Anolis sagrei: one gene and its partners. The protein of the gene in region 1 purifies or fractionates together with the protein of each later gene. This does not show direct contact. Links are inferred from orthologs where the notes say so. Each region holds a gene or a part of one and is shown on either strand. Other genes may lie near its edges. The genes, in order: HNRNPA2B1, HSF1 and HNRNPH3.

The links.
Region 2: the proteins of HNRNPA2B1 (region 1) and HSF1 purify together in Homo sapiens (affinity purification with mass spectrometry; 3 studies listed by BioGRID, with this or other methods). This does not show direct contact. The link is inferred for Anolis sagrei from reciprocal best matches to the Homo sapiens genes HNRNPA2B1 and HSF1.
Region 3: the proteins of HNRNPA2B1 (region 1) and HNRNPH3 fractionate together in Homo sapiens (co-fractionation; 3 studies listed by BioGRID and IntAct, with this or other methods). This does not show direct contact. The link is inferred for Anolis sagrei from reciprocal best matches to the Homo sapiens genes HNRNPA2B1 and HNRNPH3.

Annotation. Positions count from the first base shown.
Region 1 is NC_090026.1:91,776,965-91,786,699, reverse strand, and holds the start of HNRNPA2B1 (heterogeneous nuclear ribonucleoproteins A2/B1), read right to left. Parts: upstream 4,505-9,735; 5' UTR 4,490-4,504; coding exon 4,313-4,489; intron 1-4,312. Other genes in the region: CBX3 (chromobox protein homolog 3), read left to right, coding at 7,889-7,912. UniProt on the Homo sapiens protein: Heterogeneous nuclear ribonucleoprotein (hnRNP) that associates with nascent pre-mRNAs, packaging them into hnRNP particles.
Region 2 is NC_090024.1:2,716,069-2,726,266, reverse strand, and holds the start of HSF1 (heat shock factor protein 1), read right to left. Parts: upstream 3,751-10,198; 5' UTR 3,554-3,750; coding exon 3,434-3,553; intron 1-3,433. UniProt on the Homo sapiens protein: Functions as a stress-inducible and DNA-binding transcription factor that plays a central role in the transcriptional activation of the heat shock response (HSR), leading to the expression of a large class of molecular chaperones, heat shock proteins (HSPs), that protect cells from cellular insult damage.
Region 3 is NC_090023.1:170,439,523-170,449,779, forward strand, and holds the start of HNRNPH3 (heterogeneous nuclear ribonucleoprotein H3), read right to left. Parts: upstream 4,565-10,257; 5' UTR 4,403-4,564; intron 1-4,402. Other genes in the region: phenazine biosynthesis-like domain-containing protein, read left to right, coding at 6,514-6,597.

The DNA of each region.
Region 1 (9,735 bases):
CTATCCAAGCAACCAGGTAATTATGTTATTCTCTTTCCTTGTCAAAGCCTTGTGAACTTCACCTAACTTTCTAGGTGGCTTTCACACCCATCTCTCCTTAGCAGGCAAGGAAAGGAATAACTTTCATGAGCCAAAACATCTTAAAATTTAACAGAAGTACTATAACCTGAAATGTTAAGGTATTATTATTTCACCGCCACGAGTCGCCCCCTGGGCTGAGAGTGGCGGTAAATAAGTGCAAGCAATAAATAAATAAATAAATAATTATGCCCCTAGTAGATACTTAAGTGTCACAAACTAATACATATTTTTTATTTATTGTAACTGCTTACAGAAGTATCTTGAAATGTTACAAACATGTCTACAGGCATGAGTTCTGTCTTAGATATGGCCAAGTTCTAGATATCTGTCTCTTACAGTTTTACAAAAGAAACTCCTTTCGGTTATAATGACCATGGAACTACACATCTTTTTATATTCTCAACATACAACACTGGCAATCTAAAAATTAATAAACAGGCAGACCAGTGCTTCTATATATCCATGTTATGTTTCTAAGTAAGCCATTGCTAAATTGTAAGTTTAATGCTAAAGTGGGCAATCTCCACATCAATAAGAAACTCTGCTATATATAAATAAAAAAATTCAGCCTGAGTGTTGCACTGCAAGCTTCCTTCACAGCTCAAACAGCAAGCTTCACGTTCCTAACGCACAGAAGTAATCTCAAAGAGGCTTGCCTTATGCTTAACCTGCAAAGAAAAAAGAAAAGAAAAAAGATTGGGCCCCTGCATTTCTTATCTGATTGTTTTAAGCGCCCTTATTTATGAAAATGGCCTGACAATTTTTTTCTTCCCCTGCACCAGGAATGACATGAACTGTGTTGACTTCTTGACTGTATCAATTATGTTTATTTAAAATAAGTGAGAAAAAGATTTTGAAGTGTCTGAACACAAATCAGTTACAATGATACAATATTCACCTAAAAATATCAAGCCACTGAAAAACATTTTAGATTGTGTGCCACTCACTGTGGGGTTTTTTTTAAAGAAGTTGCAATTCCTTGCTGTAAATCCAACTACTACTCCTACATATGCAGCCTCATTGAGTCTATTCTTACTGGGATTAGTACCTGGATTTAGGCTCTTGTGTCTTTAAATGTTAATACAGAGTGTAAGGCATCCTAAATAATTACTCAGATGCAAGCAGCCAAGTAGGAAAGCCTGCATCTTTCTCAACTGAAATGCAGAAACATATGCTAAATAATGAGGTATTAATTAGGTTGACACATGGACCCACAGCTCACTATATCTCCAAAAATACAGAAATATATACAAAAAAACCCCTATTTCATTTGGCTACATTTTGGATTTGACACTATCTGTCAAACATTCAACTTCAGGAGCCCATCTAGTTTAACTTCATTTTTTGTTTGAAGCAATTTATAAAAGCATATTATTTTTTCACAAATGTAACAAGATTCAGAATCCCAACCTATCCCTTCTATACTGCCATATAAAATCGAGATTATCTGCTTTGAACTGGATTATATGGCAATGTAAACTCATATGGCAGTGTGGGTGGGGCCTACGCCAACAAATAGAGGTAATTTGTTTTCATTTCTTCTGCCAGCAGACAACTTTCAGGTGAGCAATTTGCATTTTTATGAAATGTGGTCAAGCTGAGAACAGGATGGAAGATTACCCAAATTGCTACAGTAAAGTGGTGCAATGTTAAAGGAAACCAGGGCCCTTCTACACAGCCTATCCCACATTATCAAAGGAGAAAATCTCACATTATCTGAGTGTGGAATCAGATAACCCAGTTTAAAGCAGATATTGTGGGATTTTCTACCTTGATATTCAGCAATATAGGGATCTGCAGAAGGGCCCTCAGAAGATTTGGTGCAATGCAAAAAGGCACTTTTTGGCCCTTTCCACACAGCCAAATATCCAGAAAAGTGGTTCTCAACCTGGGGTCCCCAGATGTTTTTGGCCTTCAACTCCCAGAAATCCTAACAGCTGGTAAACTGGATGGGACTTCTGGGAGTTGTAGGCCAAAAACATCTGGTGACCCCTGGCTGAGAACTACTGATCCAGAATATCAAGGCAGAAATCCCACATTATCTGAATGTGGAGTCTAATTACTCAGTTCAAAGCAGATATTGTGGGATTTTCTGCCTTGAAATTCAGAGGGGCTTTTTTTTGTCCCTCTCCCCCCCTCCTCCCACCACCACTACATTTGTTCAGTTAGTTGATCACGCCCCATACGTAATCAACTAAGGGCTCTTCCACGAAGCTCCATATCCCAGAATATCAAGGGGGAAAATCCCACATTATCTGAGTGGGGTTTCAGATAACACATCTATGCGGAAGGGCCCTAGTTTTTGCGTTTGGAAGGGCCTTTGGTGAGACAATTGTTCTAGAAAATGCAAAAACTAGGTCCCTTCCACACAGATAACTGGGTTATCTGAAAGCACACTCAGATAATGTGGGATTTTCTCCCTTGTTATTCTGGGATATAGGGATGTGCAGAAAGGCCCTCAGAAGATTTGGTGCAATGCAAAAACGGTTACTCTTTGTGCTCTTCCACACAGCCCTATATCCCAGAATATTAAGGCAGAAATCCCACATTATCTGAGTGTGGACTCATAATAACTCAGTTCAAAGCAGATATTGTGTGTTTTTCTGCCTTGAAATTCAGGGATATAGGACTGTGTGGAAGGGACCTTCCACACAGATGCATTATCTGAAACCCCACTCAGATAATGTGAGATTTTCTCCCTTGATATTCTGGGATATAGAGCTTAGTGGAAGAGCCCTTATGGGGCGTGATCAACTAACTCTGCTGGACAAATCTGGTTGGGAGGGGGACGACAAAAAAACCGGTTCGTGTTAGGTATTTTTACGTAGCACATTATCCTTCCCCCGCCCCCTTGCTGAACTCCCGCTGAAAATGGTTCCGCCATGTGACGTCCCCGTGAATCCCAAGTCCTCAGCGGAGTAGGAGAGAAAATGGCGCCGAAGAAGACGAGGCGGGGGGAGGGGGGGTCGTTCCCAGAAGGCCACGAAAGGCTGCTCTGCTCTTCTGCGCGCGCACCCTGCCCGCTCTCGCGCTGAGGCGGAGAAGAGCAGGCGGAGGTCTTCGAATAGCACCCCCCTCCCCGCCAGGAACAAAGAGAGACGGTCTCTGACCCACACTATGGCCCGTGGGCCTGGGGGGGGGGGCTTAAGGGGGGTGCCAGAGACTAACACGGCCGCTTCCCCCTCCCAACCGCTGCGGGCCTTTCCAGAACCTTCCTCCCCCTCCCCAATGGCCTCATTAGAAGCATCCCAGTCGCGCCAAGTGCGCCACCCAGCGTTTCTGCGTCACTGCTTCCAAGACCTACGCTAATGGCGTACTCTGCCGCAGTTCGCGCAGGCGCGCCGCAATCTCCAACCCGGGGCGCTGACGCTTCAGCTTCCTATGCTACGCACCATGCTTGGAGTAACGCGCTTCGAGAATAGGACTCGTCTTTCGTGCTATGGCGGCCTTGATTGCTACGTACTTGGAAATTACCTCACCATTCCTCTCCCCTCCGCATTTTTAAACAAAATACTTTGATGTCCATTTATTAAACCATATCGAATTGTTCATTCCCCGTTTTGGCCCTTTTCCTCAAAACATTACTTCAGACTGAAGTATGCGACCGTTATTTAAAAAAAATGTTTTACAAGTGATCGTGCAGTGTGCGACAACAGCTCAAAGGCGCTTCGTCACCACAGGGAGGGTCCTTCGGCCATTTCCGGAAGACTGCCGAAGAATACCGATTCCCCCTCGCAGCCCCTTCGGCGATTTCCGGAAAAACCCGAACGGACAAACAATCCATTCTTTGCGGTTTCCGGAAAAAGCCGAAGAAGCACGAAGTGTCATCGCGCCAAAAAGGGGATGGGTAGGCGATGGATTAACGAAACCCCTCTCCTTTGTAGTGGCTCGATATAGTAAAATATATTTTTAAAATCCCTTCGTAAATGACGTTTATTTAAAAAAATCATATCAATACTGTTTTGTATCGCTTTTCCCTGAGGAGAAAACAAAATCCCAGGGATGACGCGGTGAGGAATCGGGCATTAAATCAGCTCTGTTGGAAACAATTTTCAAAATCAGGCCTAGGCGCTGCCTTTCCCTGTTTGTGCGCGCGCTTTTTCCCTTCCTGCGCCGCCGCCATTTTCTCCCCTCGCTCGAACTCACAGGGACACAATGGCGGCGGAGTTTCTTTTTTCCTCCCCCCTTCAAAGTAAAAGCCGGCTATTAACCGAGCCACTCTGTCCGTTACCTCACTCACCCAGTCGCTCTCCCGGTCTCCGCGAGGCATCTCGGCTGAGGAAACAGCGAAGGGCGCGATAGAGTGAGGGAAGAGAGGCGGGAGGCGCGCTTTGGCTCCTTCGGCGGCAGGAGACGAAATGCGTGAAGCGGCTAACGACCGGCGGTGCAGATAATGGCGGCGGCGCATGCGCAGTGGCGAGCGGGAAGGGGGAAAGGGGAGGGCTTCTCCCTAGGCCCCGCCCCTTTCCCCTCGCGGCGGCGGCGGCGCCTTCTTCCACACACAGCGCGCGGGGAGCCAACACAGTTCGGAGGAGCCGAGCAGACGCTGGGCCGCCGCCATTGAAGTCCGTATCTTTCTCTTTATCTTATTTTATCCTTCCTTTCCCCTCCCATCTCCACCTGCCCTCCTTTTTAAAGCCCCTTTATCATAATCCTAATTGCAAGAACAGCATGAGCCGCTCTGAGGGGAAAAGGGCCGCTTACCTATATATATATATTTATGTAACTCGAGAAAGCTTCAGGCGTGGCCTCCTCCTCCCTTTCCTTTCTCCTCCCCTCCTCCATTTCCCTTTTTTTTTCTTCAAACGCCGCCTTATGACCCATGAAAGGGATTGGTAATGAAGCCTTTTGCAGTAGGCCTCTTTACAAACAAAATGGGGCGTTTTGCAGTAGGCCTCAAAAATTAGCTTGAGGATAATGTGAGGCCGCCCACCCAAGACCCTCCTCCGTTGCACTCTCCAACTTTAAATGTGTAAATGGCGGCCTGACCGCCATTTACTGGTAAGATCCATTTCTCCTTTCCTTCCATAAAGGAAGAGGCCCGATGAAACGGAGGCTGGAGGCGGTGAAAAGGAGTGACATCCCTCCAAGCGTCAGGTCCTCAGATGGGTAGCTCTATGCTTGGAAATGGGGGGCCAAAAAGAAGGATGGGGTCCCTTTGGGATATTTGGCCAGGCATTTTCACCCAGTCTTATTCTCCTGGACTAGCTTTACCCGCCACGCGTTGCTGTGGCCAACCTTCCCTCCCTCGTTCTCTCCTCCTTTCTTTCTCACCTTCATTTCTTCCCTTTTTTTCTTTCGTTCTCTCCTTTCTTCTCTTCCTCTTCCCTTCCTTCCCCTTCCTCTTTCTCTCCTTTCTTCCTTCTCTATTCTTGGACTGCAACTCCCAGCAGTCCTCCTGATCAGTCTATTTATCTCTCTCTCTCTCCATCTAATCCAGTGGTTCTCAACCTGGGGTCCCCAGATGTTTTTAGCCTACAACTCCCTGAAATCCTAACAGCTGGTAAACTGGCTGGGATTTCTGGAAGTTGTAGGCCCAAAACATCTGGGGACCCAGGTTGAGAACCACTGACTATCTATCTGGAGGATTCCTGGGAGTTGCAGTACAGGAATAGGAAATTGGAGGTATGCAGGGATTGGTATGCTCTCAAAGAAATCCAAGGAGAAGCAAACTTGCAGCTTGGAAGCAGTGCATTTGCATCATCTTCCTCTCCTAAAGGGCCTGGTCTAGGGGATGCTGGGAGCTCTAGTCTGGAAGAAAGTGTGGATATGCTATTGTGTGTTTTGTTTGTCCAGGGTACTCATTTTGCACATGCACTGTAACATCTCTTTGCATTTGTGGCTTTTTAAGTCCCTTCTGCTGTGTTTTTCAGTATTTTTATGAGTGATGGTCACTTGTTGGCCTGATAGGTGTATTGTGTCCAAATTTGGTGTCAATTCGTCCAGTGGTTTTTGAGTTATGTTAATCCCGCAAATGAACATTACATTTTTATTTATATAGATTGTGGGATTCTATCCTTTCTCTCCCCCCCCCCCCTTTTCCTTGCTTCTCGTGCTTAGCATCAATGCTTTGCTGTAGGCCGTTACTCTTTACATTCCATTTTTTTCGGAATGGAAGGATGCACTCACTACAAAAAAAAGGATGGCTGAAAGTGGAAGGGAAGCAGGCAGAAGGTGGTGGATTACTGGGTTGCAGAGTTTTCTGGGTGGTGGATTTGCTTTCATGCATCTCTTGGTTGATCCACCCCATCGGTTTGCAAAGAAACTCCTGTTAAAAGGCATTGGGACTGTAATATGAATTATTCTATATGTGTCCAGTGGCACCGTGGGTTAAACCACTGAGCTGCTGAACTTGCTGACTGAAAGGAATGAGCTCTCACTGTTAGCCCCAGCTTCTGCTAACCTTGCAGTTCAAAAAGATACAAATGTGAGTAGATAAATAGGTATCGCTCCAGCGGGAAGGTCACCACTCTTTACATGCTCGTCACATGACCAAGGACAGTAGTTCTCAACCTATGGGTCCCCAGGTGTTTTGGTCTACAACACCCAGAAATCCCAGCCACTTTACCAGCTGTTAGGATTTCTGGGAGTTGAAGGCCAAAACATCTGGGGACCCATAGGTTGAGAACCACTGATCTAGGAGATGTCTACGAACAATGCCGGCTCATTGGCTTAGAAATGGAGATGAGCACCACCTCCCAGAGTCAGACTCAACTAGACCTAATGTCAAAGGAAAACCTTTACCTTTTGTGTGTGTATGTTCTATAACTATGTTTAAGATTTGTTGTTGGAAGGCTTTCATGGACGGAATTACTGAGTTGCTGTGAGTTTTTCAGGCTGTATAGCCATGTTCCAGCAGCATTCTCTTCTGACATTTTTGCCCACATGTAGGGCAGGCATCCTCCGGGGAATTCCAGACAAGAAACCACCAGGGGCAGTTAACACCTCCCAACAAAGGATTCCCGCCAGACTTTGAATGCTTCTGGAACATAGCCATACAGCCCCAAAAAATCAAATCAACCTATGTTTAAGATTCCTAGGTCACGCATGTATTTGTTGTCTACTCGACCGCAATCTTGTATCTTCCTGAACTGTTAGAATTACCTGTACTATACATGGTTGTTCTTCAAAGGCTCCAAGATGGCTTGATGGATCTGAATCAAACTTCATTATCCAAATTAAAATCCTGCCAAATCAGAAATGGTCTCCCCTTTCTTTTTAAAATGACATATATTGATGGCCCATGAGTCTTATGATGCAGCGTTCCGATAGCTTACTCAGAGAGGAAGATGACAAATAGAGGAGGTCTGGAGTATCAACAGGGAGACACACTAGGAGACCCCTTCCATCAAGCCATGTAGGGCCTTTGAGGGACATAGATAAATGTTGTATATATTGATATTATGGCTGATTTTGTGACCCCTGAAATGTTTCTGGACTTCAGTTCCCAGCATCCCCAGCCCTGGTGTAGCTAATTATGGGGAAACCAGGGGATTGCAATCCAGCATCATGATATCACCCCACTTTGAGGTTTTGCAGTATAAGCTTTCTTTGCAAATGTTTGGTTTGAGATCAGAATGTGTGATGTTGTTAGTGAAAAGGCATGGCATGTTTTGTAGGTAATGCTTAACTCCAAATGCCTAGTGTCATAAGTAATATAACTTCAAATGTTGCTAATGTACTTGAATTTTGGAATCACATTGATAAAAAAGGGACCATATTTGTTTTCAGATGCCTTTCTCTGAGTAATACACATTCCTTTTGTCATGCATTTTTCTAGTAAAAGCTCAGCAAGTCTGCAATAAAAATGGCCACCAATAAATCTACATTGGTAAGTTCACAACCACATAAAATATGTAAGGATTTTATCACCATATTTCTTCAGATTTATTGTTGGCATTTCTGTGTAAAACACTGGTTCCAAACTTTTGGTCCTTCAGGTATTTTGGACTTCAGCTCCTACAATTCCTTACAGCTGATAAGATGGCTGGGACTTCTGGGTGTTGAAGTCCGAAAACTCTAGAGGACCAAAGGTAGGGAACCACTAGTGTAAAAAGATACATCCACATCTCCCAGCATTATTTACCATATTTTTATCCCGCCCTATCTCACCCTCAAAGGGGGACTCATCGCGGCTTACAGTTTGGCACAATTAGATGCCACATCAAAACAGAAATAACAAATTATAAATATTTTAACATTAATTACACATAAAAACGAGCACATATAAATACAATTAAAACAGGATTGAAAACAGCAATTAAAACAACCACAAATTCTGTAATCAGAGTCCTTGAGCCATTCCAGTTACAGTCACATTGATTTCCAGCTGTCTATTGCATTGTAGCTAGTCTCCGAATGTCTGGTTCCAAAGCCATATTTTCTAAATGTCAGGAGGGAGGAGGCTGATCTCACATCACTAGGAAGAGAGTTCCACAGTTGAGGGGCCACCACTAAGAAGGCCCTGTCTCTAGTCCCCACCTGTGACGGAGGTGGAACTGAGAGCAGGGCCTCTCCAGAAGATCTTAGCTATCCTGGTTCATAGGGGGAGATGTGTTCGGATAAGTAAGCTGAGCCGGAACCGTTTTGGCCCAGCTTACCTGTTATTGTACCAAATAAAAGATTGTGAAAGTAAGGCAACTGGAAAGAATACAAATTCTGGCATCAGTGGATTTGCCAGGTTCAGGTAAAAGTTTTAATACTTGATGCGTGCTCTACACATGATGCAATTATTCATTTCTGTGTAGCAGAAGGAATGACCCAAGTTTCATTCAGAGAAAAATGCTAAATGTAAAATATATTGCCATTGATTTAAGAGAACGTTTTGCAGAAACACAACATCTAGTAGCAGTAAAGAAACTACTGCTGATGCCATCTATATTTACATGGCCACTTTGTTTCAACTGCAAACATTATATTGATAAATAATTGACACAAGATTAAAATGGAATTTTTAAATTACACTTTCTTGACAAAGTTGAAAAAAATGCAGTTTTATTTATCAACTCCAAGGACAGTTGATACATGTTACATACCAGAAAAGAAAAGCAGACTTTTATGTTGCATATAATTAGGAAATGATATTTTTTTTAAAAAAAAAAATGCTAGTATCACGTTGCTCTAATGCATTGCTTCTCAACCTGTGGGTCCCCAGGTGTTGGCCTACAACTCCTAGAAATCCCAGCCAGTTTACCAGCTGCTAAGATTTCTGGGAGTTGAAGGTCAAAACATCTGGGGACCCATAGGTTGAGAACCACTGCTCTAATGCAAATAGATAGTGCAATTTCCTCTGGGATGGTATGTACAATTTGGGTCGTTGCATCTTATAAAAGATGTTGGGAGGGTGAAAGAAATACTGAAAAGGACACCTAGAACAATCAAGGCACTAAAACAACTTCCATGTGAGGCAGAACAGCAGTATATTGGGACTTCTAAGTTTAAAAGAAAGCAGAGTGTATAAACACAGAATCTTGTATCAGGACGGAACCACAAGGACCATCTAGTTCAACACTGCCCTGCATGAAGATAGCCCCTGATCTTCTGATTCCACTCCCTTTATACAGTAAAGATGTTCTTCTTAATGTTTAGGAGGATTCTCTTGTAATCTGAGTAAGAAAGACATCTATAATGTTATGCGTGATGAGGACAATTTTT
Region 2 (10,198 bases), on another chromosome or scaffold:
AAGCCCTAGTTGCAGAAAGAGAGATTCCACCCAAACATTAAAAAGAACTTCCTGAAAGTTTAACTGTGGAATCTCCTGTTGTCTCTGAGTCTGATAGTCACCTTCTCTGAAAGTTTTGAAGCAAAGGCTGAATGGGAATCTGCTGGGGGTGCTCGGAGTGTGCTTTTCCTGGCTGGCAAAAGGGGCCTGGACTGGATGGCCCTTGTGATCTCACAATTCATATTCCCTGATTACATTTCTGCTTATTTCCCAAAAAAGAGAGACTTATTTGTGTTCAAGGGTCGCTTTCGCTGCTGTTAGCAATGCATTTTGGTGCTGCTTTCCAGGAGGGAGGCAGAGGCCCAACTCTTCCCCTTGCCAGGCAACCCCTGCCCTAGAATCGTAGAATATTATAATGCAATACAATATAATACTAGTAATAATAATACAATATTATAATTATAATTATATATTTACATACCATGTAATATTATTAATAATATTTGCACCGGGATTGTGGTGTAGCTGGCTGAGTGTCAGCGGCATTAAGATCACTCTGACTAAAAGGTCATGAGTTCGAAGCCAGCCCGGGTTGGAGTGGGCTTCCAACCAATTGTGTAGCCTGTTGTCGACCTTTGCAACCCGAAAGACAGTTGCATCTGTCAAGTAGGAAAATTAGGTACCACCTTATGTGGGGAGGCTAAATTAACTAATTTATGAGGCCATAAAAAAGACTCCAGCAAAGCTCTGAGATCTGACCAAAGTAGAACAGAGTGGGATCATGACTTCCCTTGATCCAACTGGTATTTTCAGCTGTATAAATATGTGAAAGGATGTCAAAAGGAAGAGGGAGAAGCTTTGTTTTCTGCTGCCTTGGAAACTAAGATGCTGAGTCATGGGTTCAAATTACAGGAAAGGAAATTCCACCTGAACTTTATTAGAAAGAACTTCCTGACGGCAAGAAGAGCTGTTCAGTAGTGGAACTTTCTGCCTTGGAGTCATGTGGAAGTTTCTTCCTTTTAAGCAGAGGCTGGATGGCCATCTATCAGCAGTGCTTTGATGGTGCTTTTCCTGGATGGCAGAAGGGGGCTGGACTGGGTGGCTCCTATTATTATTATTATTATTATTATTATTATTATTATTATTTAAAAGGCTGGGTGGCCTTTCACTGTGGTGCTTTCAATGTGGGGGTGCTTTCACTGTGCTTTTCCCGCATGGCAGATTGGGTGGCTCCTATTATTATGGTTATTACAAAGGTTGGGTGGCCATCAGTTGGGGGTGCTTTGACTGTGCTTACCACACATAGCAGATGGGGGTTGAACTGGGTGGCTCCTATTATTATTATTATTATTAATAATAATAATATTTCAAAGGCTAGGTGGCCATCTGTTGGGGGTGCTTTGACTGTGCTTACCCTGCATGGCAGATGGGGGGTTGGACTGGGTGGCTTGAAATATATTATTATTTCAAAGGCCGGGTGGCCATGTGTTAGGGGTGCTTTGACTGTGCTTTCCCTGCATGGCAGGATGTTCCTATTATTATTATTATTATTATTATTATTATTATTATTATTTCAATGGTTCGGGGTGCTTTGACTGTGCTTTCCCTGCATAGGAGGAGGGGGTTGGACTGGGTGGCTCCTATTATTATGGTTCTGGCCCAAGCTACCTATCCGAACGTATCTCTGCCTATGAACCCACCAGGACTCTAAGATCTTCGGGGGAGGCCCTGCTCTCGATCCCGCCTGCTTCACAGGTGCGGCTGGTGGGGATGAGAGACAGGGCCTTTTCTGTGGTGGCCCCCCAGCTGTGGAACACCCTTCCTATGGAGGTAATATCAGCCCCCTCGCTGATGGTGTTCTGAAGAAGATTAAAAACTTGGATGTTTGAACGGGCATTCAGATAAACAGTGCAATGAATACGATGAATATAGGAACGGAATTATAGACGACGAGTTGGTTCACGATTCTAGTTACGAGACGTTATTGTGTTGTTATTGATGTGCCATTACTTGTATATTATGCTCTCGTGGTTTTAAATTGTTTACTGCTATTTTGATATGACCGCCTTTTTGCTCTGTTGTGAACTGCGTTCATAGAATCATAGAATCAAAGAGTTGGAAGAGACCTCCTGGGCCATCTAGTCCAACCCCATTCTGCCAAGAAGCAGGAATTTTGCATTCAAATCACCCCTGACAGATGGCCATCCAGCCCCTGTTTAAAAGCCTCCAAAGAAGGAGCCTCCACCACACTCCGGGGCAGAGAGTTCCACTGCTGAACGGCTCTCACAGTCAGGAAGTTCTTCCTCATGTTCAGATAGAATCTCCTCTCTTGTAGTTTGAAGCCATTGTTCCATTGCGTCCTAGTCTCCAAGGAAGCAGAAAACAAGCTTGCTCCCTCCTCCCTGTGGCTTCCTCTCACATATTTATACATGGCTATCATATCTCCTCTCAGCCTTCTCTTCTTCAGGTTAAACATGCCCAGCTCCTTAAGCCGCTCCTCATAGGGCTTGTTCTCCAGACCCTTGATCCTTTGAGTCGCCCTCCTCTGGACACATTCCAGCTTGTCAATATCTCTCTTGAATTGTGGTGCCCAGAATTGGACACAATATTCCAAGTGTGGTCTAACCAAAGCAGAATAAAGCATGGGGAGCATGACTTCCCTAGATCTAGACACTAGGCTCCTATTGATGCAGGCCAAAATCCTGCATCAATAGCCGTTCAGCAGTGGAATTCTCTGCCCCAGAGGGAGTGTGGTGGAGGCTCCTTCTTTGGAGGCTTTTAAACAGAGGCTGGATGGCCATCTGTCTGGGGTGCTTTGAATGCAATATTCCTGCTTCTTGGCAGAATGGGGTTGGACTGGATGATGGCCCAGGAGGTCTCTTCCAACTCTAGGATTCTAGGATTCTTTAATGGGTGGCTCCTTATTATTATTATTATTACAAAGGCTGGGTGGCCATCTGTTAGGAGTGCTTTGACTGTACTTTTCCCTCATGGCAGATTGGGTGGCTGCTATTATTATGGTGATTGCACAGGCAGGAGGGCCACCTGTCGGGAGGGCTTTGGTGGTGCTTCTCCTGCCTGGCAGGGGGTGGGACTGGATGGCCTTGGGGGTCCCTTCCTTCCCTCGGATGCCCGCCCTCCTCCTCCTCCTGGGTGGCTGCTATTATTATGGTGATTGCACAGGCAGGAGGGCCACCTGTCGGGAGGGCTTTGGTGGTGCTTCTCCTGCCTGGCAGGGGGTGGGACTGGATGGCCTTGGGGGTCCCTTCCTTCCCTCGGATGCCCGCCCTCCTCCTCCTCCTCCTGGGTGGCTGCTATTATTTTGGTGATTGCACAGGCTGGAGGGCCACCTGTCGGGAGGGCTTTGGTGGTGCTTCTCCTGCCTGGCAGGGGGTGGGACTGGATGGCCTTGGGGGGTCCCTTCCTTCCTTCCCTCGGATTCCCTCCTCCTCACCGGGCTCCAGCAGATGAGGGCGTCTGTCTCGGGGTCCTCGACGAGGGTCCAGAGCTTGGTGAGGAAGGCCGGCACATTACTGCCCGCCGCTCCGGCCGCGCCCACGCCCGAGGCCTCCATGCCCGGCCCTTCTCCTCGTCCTCCTCCTCCGGAGGCCCTCGCTCCGACTCCCAGCCGGCAAGGCAGGCTCGGCTAGCGGGCCCTCACCAGGCCGGACGCCCTTCTCTGCGCACTCAGCAGCGCCTCAGAAAATCCAGGCATGGCCGCCGCCATCTTGGGGGAATCCTGCGCACGCGCACTTCGCGCATACACGCCCCCCTCAGCAAGGACGGCCCCGCGCGTGCGCAGTGGCTCCCTCGAAGGAGTGCGCACGCGCAGTGCTGCCTGCAAAAAGACCTCAGCAACACAGTTCGCTCTCTCTCATATCCTTTATCTAGAATTTTGCGCATGCGCATCTTTTCTTTTCAAAAAATGGACTACATTTCCCAGAAGGGCGCACCAAAGGCAGCGTTCATAATGCCTGCTGGGAGTTGTAGTCTGAAAAAAACTCAGAAAGCCCCAAGCTATTTTTGTTTACATCGCTTAGAATGCTCTATTTTTGTTTACATTTATTAATTTATTTACTTACTTTACTTATATACCGCCCTTCTCAGCCCGAAGGCAACTCACAGCAATTCACAACAATTAGAACAGCAAAAACAGCAAAAATTCAAGGCCACGGTATAAAAACACATTCAACAACCCGAACATAGTACATAATTAATAAACAATTACTACAGTAACCATTCACTATTCGCTATCATCTCATCATCAGAAACATGATCCAGATTCGTCATCCATTATTCCGTTCCAATGTTCATTAACCAATCATTGCACTAATTATTCGAACGCCTGCACAAACAGCCAGGTCTTCACTTTTTTGCGGAATACCATTAGAGATGGTGCTAGTCTAATGTCCGTAGGAAGGGCGTTCCACAGCCGAGGAGCCACCACCAAGAAAGTCCCCGCCAGCCGTGCTTGAGAATCATAGAATCCTAGAATCCAAGAGTTGGAAGAGACCTCATGGGCCTTTATCCAGTCCAACCCCATTCTGCGAAGAAGCAGGAATATTGCATTCAAATCACCCCTGACAGATGGCCATCCAGCCTCTGCTTCAAAGCTTCCAAAGAAGAAGCCTCCACCAGACTCCGGGGCAGAGAGTTCCACTGCTGAACGGCTCTCCCAGTCAGGAAGTTCTTCCTCGTGTTCAGATGGAATCTCCTCTCTTGTAGTTTGAAGCCATGGGTCCATTGCGTCCTAGTCTCCAGGGCAGCAGAAAGGAAGCTTGCTCCTGATATCGAGCTCTTTTGGGGGGTACTCCCAGCGAGGCGAGTCCCTAAGGACCGCGAATGGGGTCCCGACCTTGGTGAGCTGCCAGCGGATGCCAATTCAAAAAGACGCAAAAACGTTGAAAATCAATCTCACCAGAGGCTGAAGAGGAGATCTGCGACCGAGGCGTTTATTTAGCGATTCAGCTGAAAAGGATGCATTAAAGGGATGAATCCACAATAAGCATGCAGTACAGTGAATTTCAGGCATATTTATACAGAAGAAACAAAGAAATCCTGGTTTGAATCTCCCGCCCGCCTCCTGTCAGTTCCCTCTGTCCTGATTGGCCGGCTCCAGAACAGCTGGGAGGAGGCTTGGCCGCTGGTCCCGCCTTCCCTCCAATCGCCGGCCGCTGTCGCCTCCAGGGGGCCAATCAGAGCCCTCGGAGCGCCTCCGGAGATTGTCCAATCAGCGGCCAGGAGGCGGGATGTATTTTGACAGCGTGGAGGGGCGGAATGCCTGGGAGGCGTCCGCCAGCTGATTGAACACCCTTTGTTGTTTCACGGCAGGGGAGGCAGACGGGGGAACAAGGGATTTCCTGGGTTCCGATAAGAAGATGTGTATAGGCAAAAAGGGTGGCTATGGGTGGTGTCTGGATCTCAACCTTGTGGGCAAAGGGGTCCTTTGTCACAAAGGAGCGTACACAAAACACCTTGATTGATTTAATCAGTCTGTTTTTTCCGGGTTTTTGGCTGGCAAATCTCTGGCTTTGTTCGTCTGACACTGAAAACAAAGCCACAGATGTGACCAGTATTTGTCCATGCAATGTCAATATGAATGGAGTTTTTTCCAAGGAAATTGGATTCCTTACTGTAACCCCAGGTCACGTATCTTTCAATAGGGCAAAGTTCAAGAGGGGAAAAGGCAAGGAAGGAGGGTGAGGGTACATCTCATTTCATTTCATTTCATCATATATCATATACTTCATACATATTTTCTTCATAGGCTTTCATAACTCATAGATTCCATAGGAAAGATCCCCATCCCATCCCAGTAAAGTTTATTAGAAAACCACAGCAATTGATAGAGATAATCAGCAGAGTTCCCGAGGTATGATCCTTTTCAACAAGGGCACGCACACACAGGCGGGGGGCTCTTTCTCCCCAAGCGGCTTGGCTTTGAGTTCATGGAGGAAGTCCGTGATGTTAGGGCACCAAGTCGATCAGAGAGGGCAGAAAGGTCCGCAAAAGAATCTGCAAATAGTGGAGAGTGGGGCAATGTCCTTTGGGGAACTGCATTTCCCTGATCAGGGGCCAGGGTCCAGTGCACAAGCCAGAGAATTCACAGAGAGGAAACAGGAACCCAGTTATGTCCCATCTGGGTCAGGAAGCAGCAGAATCCATTGTCCGGCCCTTGGTGAACTACAAATACTTGGGGGGGGGAAAGATGCTCTGCATCAAATCCTCCCTTCGAGGCTGGGAAATGGTCACACTCATTTCCTCAAGCCTCGACAATCCCCCCCCAAGCACTCAGGGCCTCTTTCTAGACTGATTAGATTGTATTCTGTTGATTATTTCGGGGCCCCACTCAAGCAACAACAGCAGGACCCAGCAGGGTGGGAGAGACCAGTGGCGGAGTGTTCTTTGGGTTGGAGAAAGAAAAAGAGACTGAAGTAAGAAGGTGAAGACGGTGGAGGCAGGGGATGATGGAGCCTGTGATGGCCGTCAGCATGGAGCACTCAGGGGTCCAGAGTGAGTTCCCAATGGAGAAGGATGGCACATGGTGGAATCCTCCCATCTGGCCGTGGTCCTCAGGCCTCCTGGGGGCGCTGGCTCCTCCCTTGGCACTTGGGGGAGGGAGAAGATGGGGCACAGCCTTGCTACTCCTTCTGGCGTGGCGTCTCCTGGTGACCGCAGACCGGTCCGGCTCTCCATCATCACAGAGACTCAGGGATAGTGTCTAGGACAGTCAGAAAGAAGGTTTACAGCCCCCCCCACCCCCCCCCCTTCCCAGCCCAAGGGTAGTTAGTGGGGAAACAAAAGGGAAAAAACTTTCATACCTAGTGGGGGCGTCAGTGGTCTCCTTTGGGCCACCCCTCTGCACAGCTTCTGGAACGGGCAGGGCCTCCTTCCTTCATGGCAGTTGCTGTGGGATCCTGGTTGCTCCTCCTGCGATGGCATTCCCCCGTGGGGGCTCAGATCAGCCTCTAGGAGGGGCTGTCTCTTCTGGGCGGCATGGGGTCTGGTCCTGTTCTCCTGGGATCTTCCTGTGCCATCTGGGTTCCACACAGGAAAGTCCACAGACCTCCCTTGCTCACCTCGCCCAGGTAGTTGTCCTCAGCGGCAGGAGTGGATTATGGGTCCCACAGTTTGATCAGTTGCTCTTTACTGCGCAGAGGGGACCCCTGGACCTCGACGCCCCCTTCATATTTAAGGCAGTTAATGGGATAATCTAGACATACACATACATGCGCTCAGGGAAAGGGGAGGGAGGAAGGGCCAGGAAGGAAAAGAGCATCAGAGGGACTGCGTGTGTGTGAGAGAGAGATTTAACCACAGATGTGGGTGAAATGTCAGGAGGGAATGCTTCTGGAACATCCCTTCCTTAGGTTTTTTGGAGAAGGAGGTAAGAGGGAGCAGCAGGATTCCTCTGGGAGATAGAGGAAAGAATTCACAGAATACTGGCTTCTTAGAGGATGGGAGGGGAGGGAAGAGAGAGAGAGAGAGAGAGAGAAAGGATGGGTTTCAGAGACATTTCACAAGCACATGGAACTCTTTGGTGAGGTCTGGCTCTTAGAGAGAAAAGGGGAAAAGCAGGGAGAGAGAGAGAGAGAGAGAGCCAGAAAACTTTGTTTGGCAAGAGGAAACAGGAACAGAAAAGGTCCCCTCTTACACCTCCCTTTGCGAGAGGAGAAAGGGAGGAGGGGTTTTGAGAGAAAAAAAGGGAAGTTGGGGAGTAAAGAGAGAACAAAGGATAAGGCAGGGACATTGGTGACTGCCCCTGAAAAATGGGTTTTGTAGTTGCACAGAAGAGAAGGGGAGAAAAAGAGAGCTCTTGGGTCAGGGAGACCAGGAGAGAGAGAGACTTTTGCAAGGCAGCTGAGTCACATCAGTGGCAGGGTCTCTCCTGGCGAGGAGAAACACTGTTTATTATAAATAAACAGGCACTGAAGATTCAGCTTGAGAAAGAAGGGATTTTGTAGTAGCTTGGGGGAGAAGGGAATGAGCAATGCCTCCTTTTCCCATCTGAAGGAAGGAAAAAAAGGTGGCACAGGAGAAAGCAGGAGAGGAGGAGAGCAAAGAATTTCCCTAGCGCATTTCCTCAAGGAACAGGGGGGAAAAAAATTTAGGAGGGGCATATGGATGCAGACATTTCATAATAGGGAATAGGGAAATGGAGGGGTTGGAAAGGGAAGGAAGGAGTCAGGGAGATTGGGTAAAGGGAAATGGGAATGGGATGGTAGGGGAACAAGCAATTTTCAAAGGGAGGGGGGAAAGGTCTGGAGGGGGTTTCCTGGGGGTTGGGGCTTTGTCACCTTCCCCTTGCATGGTAGGAGTTGGCCACAACTACCCCCCTTCCACCTCCTCCGGCACATGGCAAAAAAGCATGAGGCAGAGGCGAGTTCGGTCCCCTTGGCCCCCTCACAGCGATCCGACTGCCATGAGGGGCCACGAAACTCCACCTGCTGAGGGCCTGGTGGGCCACCTTTCCATGCGATTTTTTTACCCTACTGGCCTGCGTCAGCGACGCAACCCTGTCCCATTCCGCCAGTACTCTTCCTAAAGGTGTTTCCAATGAGACAGGACGTTTGACCCCAGAATGACATGCGCCCATCTCTCCTGGTAGCCCCACAAACCAGTGGCTAATCAGGGTAGCCCCCCCCCAACCGCAAGGCAGGCTAGAGCCTGAACGGTTCCCTAGCAGAAGAGCCCGGGGCGATCAGCCCTTGGCAGCTAGGCAGTCCGAAAGGGAAGGGCTCCCTTTCCCACGTAGCTCCAGCCAAGGCCGCAAAAGCGAGCTGAATTGCTATTCTGGACCTCAAACGTGGATGTTCGCTACCTCCCGCCAGGAATTTGTTACCGAGACCTAGAGAATCCCTCCCCAGTGGGCCAACTCCGAAGCTGGTTCGGAAAACCTAGAATCCCCTCCCACCTGACAGCCAAGGCAGCCCGCGGTTGATTTCTTACCCGTCCGGACGTTTTCTTCCCCCCTTTCCGCGTCGGTCGCTCCTCTTCCTGGAAGTCCTTAGATCAAGGCTTCCCTGGCGCTCCTTTGTGCTGAAACCCCAGGTCAGAGCTTGGGAGGAGGTGGCTGAGGGAGAATTTGTAGTTTTTGGTTAGCTTGGTCAAATGAAAGTCCGAATTGGGAGAGGCGCCTCTTTTCCCCAGCCGCTCCTCTGCCGCCACTGGCCCGAAGAATCAGTCCAAGGCGCCTGCTTGAGAATTTAGGCTATAATTTAGTCTGGAACCTCAAGCAGCAGTCCCTTCGTGGTAAAGCCAAATGATATCGAGCTCTTTTGGGGGGTACTCCCAGCGAGGAGAGTCCCTAAGGACCGCGAATGGGGTCCCGACCTTGGTGAGCTGCCAGCGGATGCCAATTCAAAAAGACGCAAAAACGTTGAAAATCAATCTCACCAGAGGCTGAAGAGGAGATCTGCGACCGAGGCGTTTATTTAGCGATTCAGCTGAAAAGGATGCATTAAAGGGATGAATCCACAATAAGCATGCAGTACAGTGAATTTCAGGCATATTTATACAGAAGAAACAAAGAAATCCTGGTTTGAATCTCCCGCCCGCCTCCTGTCAGTTCCCTCTGTCCTGATTGGCCGGCTCCAGAACAGCTGGGAGGAGGCTTGGCCGCTGGTCCCGCCTTCCCTCCAATCGCCGGCCGCTGTCGCCTCCAGGGGGCCAATCAGAGCCCTCGGAGCGCCTCCGGAGATTGTCCAATCAGCGGCCAGGAGGCGGGATGTATTTTGACAGCGTGGAGGGGCGGAATGCCTGGGAGGCGTCCGCCAGCTGATTGAACACCCTTTGTTGTTTCACGGCAGGGGAGGCAGACGGGGGAACAAGGGATTTCCTGGGTTCCGATAAGAAGATGTGTATAGGCAAAAAGGGTGGCTATGGGTGGTGTCTGGATCTCAACCTTGTGGGCAAAGGGGTCCTTTGTCACAAAGGAGCGTACACAAAACACCTTGATTGATTTAATCAGTCTGTTTTTTCCGGGTTTTTGGCTGGCAAATCTCTGGCTTTGTTCGTCTGACACTGAAAACAAAGCCACAGATGTGACCAGTATTTGTCCATGCAATGTCAATATGAATGGAGTTTTTTCCAAGGAAATTGGATTCCTTACTGTAACCCCAGGTCACGTATCTTTCAATAGGGCAAAGTTCAAGAGGGGAAAAGGCAAGGAAGGAGGGTGAGGGTACATCTCATTTCATTTCATTTCATCATATATCAT
Region 3 (10,257 bases), on another chromosome or scaffold:
GGTATGCCCTCTTTTTCTGCATTTATGACATGAGTGGGAAACTTACGTTTATCTAGAAATTGTTGAACTCCAATATCAGGCTCAGCCACTATTGCTAGTGGCCAGGGATGACAAGTTGTAATCCAAAATCTGGAGAAACACAAGTTTCCCAGTGTTGACCTACTTTATCCAATAGAATTCCTCTACACATTTATTCAGATATAAATCAAACTATGTTCAGGTTTTTTCCTCTCTCCAATATGAACATACACTGCATTACAGCCTTTGTCGTCATAGCTCCTATAAATCAGAAATGGCTATACCTTTTCGGATCACCTCTTTTTATTCCTTCTCCTTGAAAGAGATGGATAAACTCCATCCTAAAACGAACTGCTCTCTCAAGCAGGAAACTTCAAAATGAATTCATTTTTTCAGAGCAGTTTGCTAAACACTGGTGCAATGCTTTCCTCATGCTACACAAAAATGTGTAGGAGGGACAAAACAGGGCATGAGAGATTGTCCCATAAAGTATTCAAGGCTATCTTTTTATGTAGTAACAAAGACACATGTATGTGTCATCAAAAGTTTTGAAATTTACAGGTCCCTTCAGGCATTTAAAAAATAAGACAATTTCCCACTTGAAAAACTTTGAATAGTATAAGCAGCAGACTGTATCAATGCACACTAACTCCTATTTTAATAATGCTTGCCTAAGAATTGGACAAACAGCACAATTCTATGCCTGTTTACTCAACGGTTGGGTTTAATTATACTCAGTGAGGCCTATTCTCAGATAACTTGGTAACAGTTCTGTACACAACCAAATATGTCACTGAGTGCAATAACTAAAGTACAAAAGCTATTCATACTTTCAGAAATAAGAAATGTATTCTGTTGCTTCAGAACTATACTACACAGCAAAATAAATACTTGTAAACTACATCAAGCCTAAAAGGGTAACACAGTATTACAGTCATACGAATAGAAGTGGGTTTTTTTTATATTAATGGGATTGGTTTTCTAGAACATGTTCAAAATGTGTTCTGCTGTAAACAGGCGTCTCTGAATTGTATGTAGCATTGAAATGATATAATCCTTTCAGAAAAATAAATAAAGGCCAAAAAAGCATTGTTTGTAGCAGTAACTTTGTTAAACAGGCCATTTACAATACAATCAGTATGTTACAGCTGATTACAAACTACAGGGTGGAAAAACAGGATCGATTCTGTATCTTAACATATGCCCTTACTATAACTGAAAATGCCTTCTAACTTTTTAGTCAATATTCTGGAACAGTATTGCTATCCTGTTCTCTAAGATAAATAGCAAGCAGGACTTACCCTTTTAGTAAATTCCTATTACACATGCGTTCTCTGAAGTACTTCTCACTGAGCCCTAAGGTAACTTAATATCAAGCACAAAAACTGAACACAGAAATTAGATTCAATTCTTTTAATGGGCATAGAACATTGAGAAAATAGAATAATCAGGCAGAGATATAAAGCCCTTAGACTAAGTAGGTAGTTATTCTTTAGTGATTGTAGCAGCATGTTTTCTAGATTAGGAAATTGTACGAGGGGTAGTTTTTAAGTAAGGTCCGTTTTGTTGTAGACACTAGTAGTTTGCGCGCATACCGCATGCCTTGGGAACAACTGTGCTCAGTTTCCGCTCTGTGCTTTAAAAATGTTTAAGACTATCAACTCACCCTCCGCATATGAGGTTCGCTTGCTTCAACTGAAGCCACCAAATCGTCTGTAATCAAAGAAGGGCGACTGGAGTGGTCCTCATCATGAACATTGTCACGGCCATCTTTGAATTGTTGTACCCATTTACGCACTTTGCTTTCACTCATAACAGTATCACAGTACACTTCACAAATCTATTGATGAATTTCTGCAGCAGGCAGGTTCCTTGCTGACAAAAACCGTATCACTGAGCGAACCTCACATGCGGAATCATAGAATCAAAGAGTTGGAAGAGACCTCATGGGCCATCCAGTCCAACCCCCTGCCAAGAAGCAGGAATGTTGCATTCAAATCACCCCTTGACAGATGGCCATCCAGCCTCTGTTTAAAAGCTTCCAAAGAAGGAGCCTCCAACACATTCTGGGGCAGAGTTCCACTGCTGAACAGCTCTTCCTCATGTTCAGATGGAATCTCCTTTCTTGTAGTTTGAAGCCATTGTTTCGTGTCCTAGTCTCCAGGGAAGCAGAAAACATGCTTGCTCCCTCCTCCATGTGGCTTCCTCTCACATATTTATACATGGCTATCATATCTCCTCTCAGCCTTCTCTTCTCCAGGCTAAACATGCCCAGCTCCTTAAGCCACTCCTCATAGGGCTTGTTCTCCAGGCCCTTGATCATTTTAGTTGCCCTCCTCTGGACACATTCCAGCTTGTCAATATCTCTCTTGAATTGTGGTGCCCAGAATTGGACACAATATTCCAGGTATGATCTAACCAAAGCGGAATAGAGGGGTAGCATTACTTCCCTAGATCTAGACACTATGCTCCTATTGATGCAGGCCAAAATCCCATTGGCTTTTTTTGCCGCCACATCACATTGTTGGCTCATGTTTAACTTGTTGTCCACGAGGACTCCAAGATCTTTTTCACACGTACTGCTCTTGAGCCAGGCATCCCCCATTTTGTATCTTTGCATTTCGTTTTTCCTGCCCAAGTGGAGTATCTTGCATTTGTCCCTGTTGAACTTCATTTTGTTCATTTATTTATTTATTTACCTTGCTTATATACCGCTGTTCTCAGCCCGAAGGCGACTCACAGCGGTTCACAACAAATACGAACAGCAAAAATTCAGTGCTACAGTATAAAAACAGTTAACAACCTAACACATTACACAATTAATAAACAGTTACTACAATACCCATTCACTGTCGTCTCGTCATCAAAAACATGTTCCAGATTCGTCATTTTGTTAGTTTTGGCCCATCTCTCTAATCTGTCAAGATCGTTTTGAATTCTGCTCCTGTCCTCTGGAGTATGAGTTGGAGGGTGAGTTGATAGTCTTAAATTTATTTATTTATTTATTTACTGCTCTTATATACCGCAATTCTCAGCCCGAGGGCGACTCATTGCGGTGTACAACATAAAAACAGGTGCAAATTACAAGTCATAGTGCAAGATATCCACAATCATCATTATCAAAAACCATCTTATCAAACATCACCAATACTACAAAATTTCTACTACATTCCGAATCGTCTCATCATCAAACCCACTGTCCGATATCATTTCCGTTGTTCCATTCCTATGGTCAAATCTCCAGTCATTGCACTTTTTGATCAAATGCCTTCTTAAACAGCCAGGTCTTTAGCTTCCTGCGGAAAATCAACAGGGAGGGGGCTAGCCTGATGTCCACGGGAAGGGTGTTCCACAGCCGGGGAGCCACAACCGAGAAGGCCCTATCTCTCGTCCCCGCCAGCCGTGCCTGTGACGCAGGCGGGATCAAGAGCAGGGCCTCCCCGGAAGATCTCAAAGTCCTCGTAGGCTCATAGGCCGAGAGGCGGTCAGTTAGGTATCTGTTCTGTGCTTTAAACATTTTTAAAGCACAGAACAGAACCGTACAGGCTAGCTACAGAGCGGAAACTGAGTACAGTTGTTCCCAAGCATGCCGGTACACGACGCACACGCTCGTTGCGGTATGCGCGCGAACTACTAGTGTCTACAACAAAACGGACCTTACTTAAAAAATCCCCCTCGTGTTTCTACTCCTTTTGTGGTACGGTTTGTATTCTCACTTTCTATGTATGTTTGTTGATTGTGTGTTAGTTTTTCTTAATGCAAATTATGAACGAGAGATTACAGATTCAGCACTTTTCGAAGCGCTCGCAGCAAGTAACCATGCAGCCCTACAACAGAACAGGCCTTGCAAACGCCTAGGGCGCTCTGCGAGGAAATCCCCCCGCCCTCTGAGCACGCACGCGCCGATCGCGCAGGCGCAAAACCCACAAAGAACGGTGGGAGGGGGCGTGGCAGAGGCCAGAACGCCCGCTCTCCGGGAGGATGAGGAGGAGGGGGGTAGAAGGGGGTGTGATCCTCCTGGAGGCCTTGCGCCTGTGTGTGTGTGCGCGCGCGCGCACGGCCTTTCCTTTTGTCAGGCGCGCGCCGGCCCGTTACTGTTCGTTGCCCCGCTCTCCCTCCTGTTCGCCCGCTGTGTGGACTGAGGGCCCAATCCCCGCGCCTCCAGGCGTCGCCCACACTTCCCTCCCCGCTCTTCGCATTAAACATGGCGCCTGAGGGAAAGGCAGGCCTCGCGCCCAAAGCACAGGCCCTCCCGCTTGACCCGCTCCCTCTCCCTCGGCCCCTCTCTCTGACCCGGCCGTGGCTCCAGAAGGCGGGCCCGCCCACTCGGCCCGCTCTTTCCCCGCGGGGTCGCCGCCGGGCCCCTTCCCGCCTCCCCACTCACCGGCAGCACCTCACCCCCTTCCCCAGCTGACTTTCCGGCGCAACGGGCCCCGCCGAACTCGCCCTCAAAAAGGCCCAGGAAGCGCTCGCGGCGGAGCGAGCTGCGCAGCTGAGGCGGGAGGGATGGCGCCGTCGACGCGTCTCGCGAGAACGCCTCCGACAGGAAAGTCGCGTCCTGGTGCCCGGATGCAGGCTGCAGCGCATGCGCAGGAGGGGAGCCGAGGCGGAAAGGCGGGAGGGAGCGAGCGAGCGAGAGAGAGAGAGAGAGAGAGAGTGTAAGATGGCGGTGGCCCCTTTTGGATGCATTTCTTCCCTGCAGCGGAAAGCAGGCCGCAAGGACATTCTAGTACCTCAGGGTCCTTCCACACAGCCATATAACCCAGAATATCAAGGCATATAATCTGCTTTGACCTGGGTTATCTGTGTCCACACTGCCATACATTCCAGTTCAAAGCAGATAATGTGGGATTTTATTCAAGGGGCCTCAGTTGACAAGGAAGCCTCTCTTTTAATAAAGGCATGTCGCCTTTTTCTCCTCATCTTTGCCTCGCTTGAGAGGGCTTTCGACAGTTCTTTCTTTTTTTAAAGATTAAACTTTGTTTATTTTCAATTTACATAGTTATACAAAGCAGAGAAATAAATTTATATACATGTATGTATTCATGAACGAATACAATACTTTTTAACATCTATACTAAGGGTCCTCAAACTTTTTAAACAGAGGGCCAGGTCACAGTTTCTCAAACTGTTGGAGGGCCGGATTATAATTTGAAAAAAAATGAATGAATTCCTATGCACACTGCAGATATCTTATTTATAGCGCAAAAAAACCGTAAAAGCAATGCAATAATTAAAATGAACAATTGTAACCCATTTTCCTAGTTCCAATCATCTGGACCAATGAGCCAACAATGTGATGTGGCGGCAAAAAAAATCAATGCGATTTTGGCCTGCATCAATAGGAGCATAGTGTCTAGATCTAGGGAAGTCATGCTACCCCTCTATTCTGCTTTGGTTAGACCACACCTGGAATATTGTGTCCAATTCTGGGCACCACAATTCAAGAGAGATATTGACAAGCTGGAATGTGTCCAGGGGAGGGCGACTAAAATGATCAAGGGTCTGGAGAACAAGCCCTATGAGGAGCGGCTTAAGGAGCTGGGCATGTTTAGCCTGAAGAAGAGAAGGCTGAGAGGAGACATGATAGCCATGTATAAATATGTGAGAGGAAGCCATAGGGAGGAAGGGAGCAAGCTTGTTTTCTGCTTCCTTGGAGACTAGGACGCAGAACAATGGCTTCAAACTACAAGAGAGGAGATTCCATCTGAACATGAGGAAGAACTTCCTGACTGTGAGAGCCATCCAGCAGTGGAACTCTCTGCCCCGTGTGGTTGGGGCTCCTTCTTTGGAAGCTTTTAAACAGAGGCTGGATGGCCATCTGTCAGGGGTGATTGGAATGCAATATTCCTGCTTCTTGGCAGGGGGTTGGACTGGATGGCCCATGAGGTCTCTTCCAACTCTTTGATTCTGTGATTCTATGATGATGATTATTATTAAGGACTTTCCATAGTCAATCAAGGGCCCAAATACTGCAAAGGGGAGTATGGATTGATATAGTGTCTCGTGCTGCGGATGTTATTGTGTGTCTTAGAGGTCTTGGGACTCTGCCTTTGTTGAGAGAATTGCCTTTGCTGCCTTTGCATCCCATGGTGCACCTCATAAGGCTGAAACTATGACCCTTGTGGCATGACACCTGGGAATCAGCCCTGTACCTCAGGACTTTGATCCAAGCGAACAGGCATGGGACTCTATTAATCATTGCAGTTCTTTATTGCATTTCTATATACATGGAAAGAATGCTTCAATTTTAGTAGTTAATGAATTAATTAATGAGACATAATTGATCATTAACATTTCAAGGGATTTTCTTCTAAACATAAGATAAAATGCTTCCAATTGCATAGAAGAATAAATGTTCTATAGCCGCAGATAAAGCTGCTAACAATTTCCCTTCCTTGAGTTTAATATTAACTGAGACGTTTATGCAACAGTTAGAAAGGAGAGTCACCATTTTGCAAGAGAACATTCCGAAAACCAGCAAAACCAGAGAAAATGCAGATTTCTATGTTCACCGTTGATGCATTTACAGATCAACCATTTCGTGGCAACCCTGCAGCCGTTTGTCTTCTTGAAGATGTAAGTTTTTGACATTTCCCTTTATCTTAAACATGACAATTGTTCAGTCATTTTCTGACTTAGTGCAGTTTTTATTAATTTCAATATGACTTTAAAGTGCAGTTTTTATTAATTTCAATATGACTTTAACTAGTTACAGTTTAGGTTACAGAGACCAATCACGTGCATTATTTATTCAGAAATATAAAATTTATTAAATTAACTAATTAAAAACCCCAAACATTAAGACCCTTATAGCACAGAATCATAGTATCATAGAATTATAGTTGGGGGAGACCACATGGGCCCTCTAGTCCAACTCCCTGCCATGCAGGAAAAGAACAATCAAAGCACCCCCGACAGATGGCCATCCAGCCTCTGTTTAAAATCTTACAAGGAAAGAGCTTCGACCAGACACCAAACCTGAGAGTTCCACTGCTGAACAGCTCTTCTTACAGTCAGGAAGTTCTTCCTAATGTTCAGGTGGAATCTCCTCTCCTGTAATTTGAACCCATTGCTCCATGTCCTAGTTTCCAGGGCAGCAGAAAACAAGCCTGCTCCCTCTCCCTTATGACATATTTATCTCCCTTTTGCATATTTATCCATTGCTCATGTCTCCTCTCAACCTTCTCTTCTGCAGGCTAAACATACCCAGCACTTTCAGACACTCCTCATAGAGTTTCACCCTAAAGAGTTGTTTGTTCTGCCTGCATTTCAGTGAGCAACCTGATGACTCAGTCCCATAATACGCTATGTCAGATAACAGTTGCTTCTGACAGGTGGTTATACAAACAAGACAGGTGGTTATACACCCCAGCCATTCCACAGATATATAAACCCATTGTCCTAATTCCAACAGACCTCACTACCTCTGAGGATGCTTGCCATAGATGCAGGCGAAACGTCAGGAGAAATGCCTCTAGAACATGGCTCTATAGCCCGAAAAAAAACCACAAGAACCTAAGACATAATTTGATAAGTATTTAACTTCCCATCTCTGCATTGCATTGCCTTTAAAAAAATAAATGCATAATAACTTGTGTGTGTGTATTTTTGCTTAATTTTGGGTTTGTTTACAGAAGTAGCTATGACTCCTTCATGCATAAAGGAACAAAGAAATAAATGCAACCTGGGTGTTTCAGAGAGTAACGTCAGATAAGCTTGACATAAATCTGCAGAGCTGACGTGGCATAACCATGCTAAGTTCCCTCTGCTATCAAGAAAACATTTTCCAGCAGGGAACACATTTCTTAACTTTTATATAGAGCTGAAGTAGCAATTTATGTACCTTCAGATATTGACAAGCTATAACTTCCATAATTCTTACCCAATGCACTTCTACAGTTGGGATGAGTAACACCTGCCTCACAGGCCACTACAACCCCCTCCCCAAACCCTAATGTCAAAACCTGTAAGGAAGGGACTGCAACGGCCCCGAATCAGGGTCAGTGCTCTGACTCAGTAAAAAGGAGTTTATTTTCCTACAGCCTACTTTGCTCACTTTACCTAGATATGAAGACCCAGGCATGGGGCCTCCTACACTGAAAGTTTGGAAATGCTCCAGCCATCTCTAGTGTTGTCCAAAGATAGATTGTGGGATTAACAGAACTCAAAAACCACTGGACAAATTGCAGTAGATTTGGGCCATACCTCCCACACAGAACCCCCATGACCACCAGAGTGGGCCACAGCAACGCATAGCAGGGGACGGCTAGTCTATATAAATAAAAAGGTAGTGTTCATTTGTGGGATTAACAGAACTCAAAAACCACTGGACGAATTGACACCAAATTTGGACACAAGACACCTAACAACCCAGTGTATGTCCTTCACTCAAAAAATTGATTTTGTCATTTGGAAGTTTCCAATCTGATATCAAGTTTTCTGACCCTGTTGAAAATATCATCCAGTCCAACCCATCTTTTGTTGGCTCTGTCAACAGATTCAGTATTTCAAGTTGCAGCATCATAATTTGCCTCCAATCATCCTCTTCTGTTCCTTTATTAGTCATCATTTACAAATCTATTCTTCTGGCGTTTGGGCTGCTTGAAACACTGTGAGGCTTATCCACTAGATGTCATCTTCTGCTCCTGATACAATAAAAAAATCTTCTGTTATCTTTCTGCTGACTATCTGACTGCTAAAAAAAAAGAGATCCCTATACATTGTTGTAATTGTGTATGATTTGTGGTGATTCAAGTCCTATGTCCTTATCAGGGGCGGCTCAACCCATTACACAAAGTAAGCTTTGCAGTATAGTTGATTTTGCCCAGGGGTGCTCTTGAGGCGCTCTTGAGGAAAATAGACCTTGACTTATGCGTGTTGTAGTTACTGGGATGTATAGTTCACCTACAATCAAAGAGCATTCTGAACTCCACCAATGATGGAATTGAACCAAATATGGCACACAGAACTCCCACGACAAACAGAAAATATATATCAGTGATTGGTGGGGGGGGGGGGGGGGGATGCCAAAATACTGTTTGCTTACCGTTGAAAATTACCTAGGCCCGCCTCTGGTCCTTAATCCCTTACTTCTACATGTTCTGGCAGTCCTTGGCGCAGGCACAACACACCAGAGTGCCTTGTGCATAAATTTAGCTTTGTTCAAGTTATAATGTTGGGCTATTTCATAGAACATTTGGGGCTGGTTAAAGACGTTTTCTGAGAGGTGAACTGATAGATGGAACAGACCATCCATCCTAGATAAGGTACATAATAAACAAACACTTTTATGGCACATGAGGAAGATAATTCCGTCCTGGGCCCGGTCCTGTTCAACATCTTTATTAATTACTTAGATGAAGGGTTAGAAGGCATGATCATCAAGTTTGCAGACACCAAATTGGGAGGGATAGCCAATACTCCAGAGGACAGGAGCAGAATTCAAAACTATCTTGACAGATTAGAGAGATGGGCCAAAACTAACAAAATGAAGTTCAACAAAGACAAAGCAAGATACTCCACTTAGGCAGAAAAAACAAAAGGCAAAGATATAGAATGGGGGACAATGCCTGGCTCGAGAGCAGTACGTGTGAAAAAGATCCGGAGTCCTCGTGGACAACCAGTTAAACGTGCCAACAGTGTCATGTAGCGGCAAAAAAGCTAATGGGATTTTGGACTGCATCAATAGGAGCATAATGTCTAGATCTTGGGAAGTAATGCTTAGTTAGATGCCTTAGTTAGACCACACCTGGAATATTGTGTCCAATTCTGGGCACCACAATTGAAGAGAGATATTGACAAGCTGGAATGTGTCCAGAGGAGGGCAACTAAAATGATCAAGGTTCTGGAGAACAAGCCCTGTGACGAGCAGCTTAAAGAGCTGGGCATGTTTAGCCTGAAGAAGAGAAGGCTGAGAAGAGATATGATAGCCATGTGAGAGGAAGCCACAGGGAGGAGGGAGCAAGCTTGTTTTCTCCTTCCCTGGAGACTAGGAGGTGGAACAATGGCTTCAATCTACAAGAAAGGAGATTCCATCTGAACATGAGGAAGAACTTCCTGATTCTGATAGCCGTTCAGCAGTGGAACTCTCTGCCCTGGAGTGTGGTGGAGGTTCCTTCTTTGGAGGCTTTTAAACAGAGGCTGGATGGCCATCTGTCAGGGGTGATTTGAATGCAATATTCCTGCTTCTTGGCAGGGGGTTAGACTGGATGGCCCATGAGGTCTCTTCCAACTCTC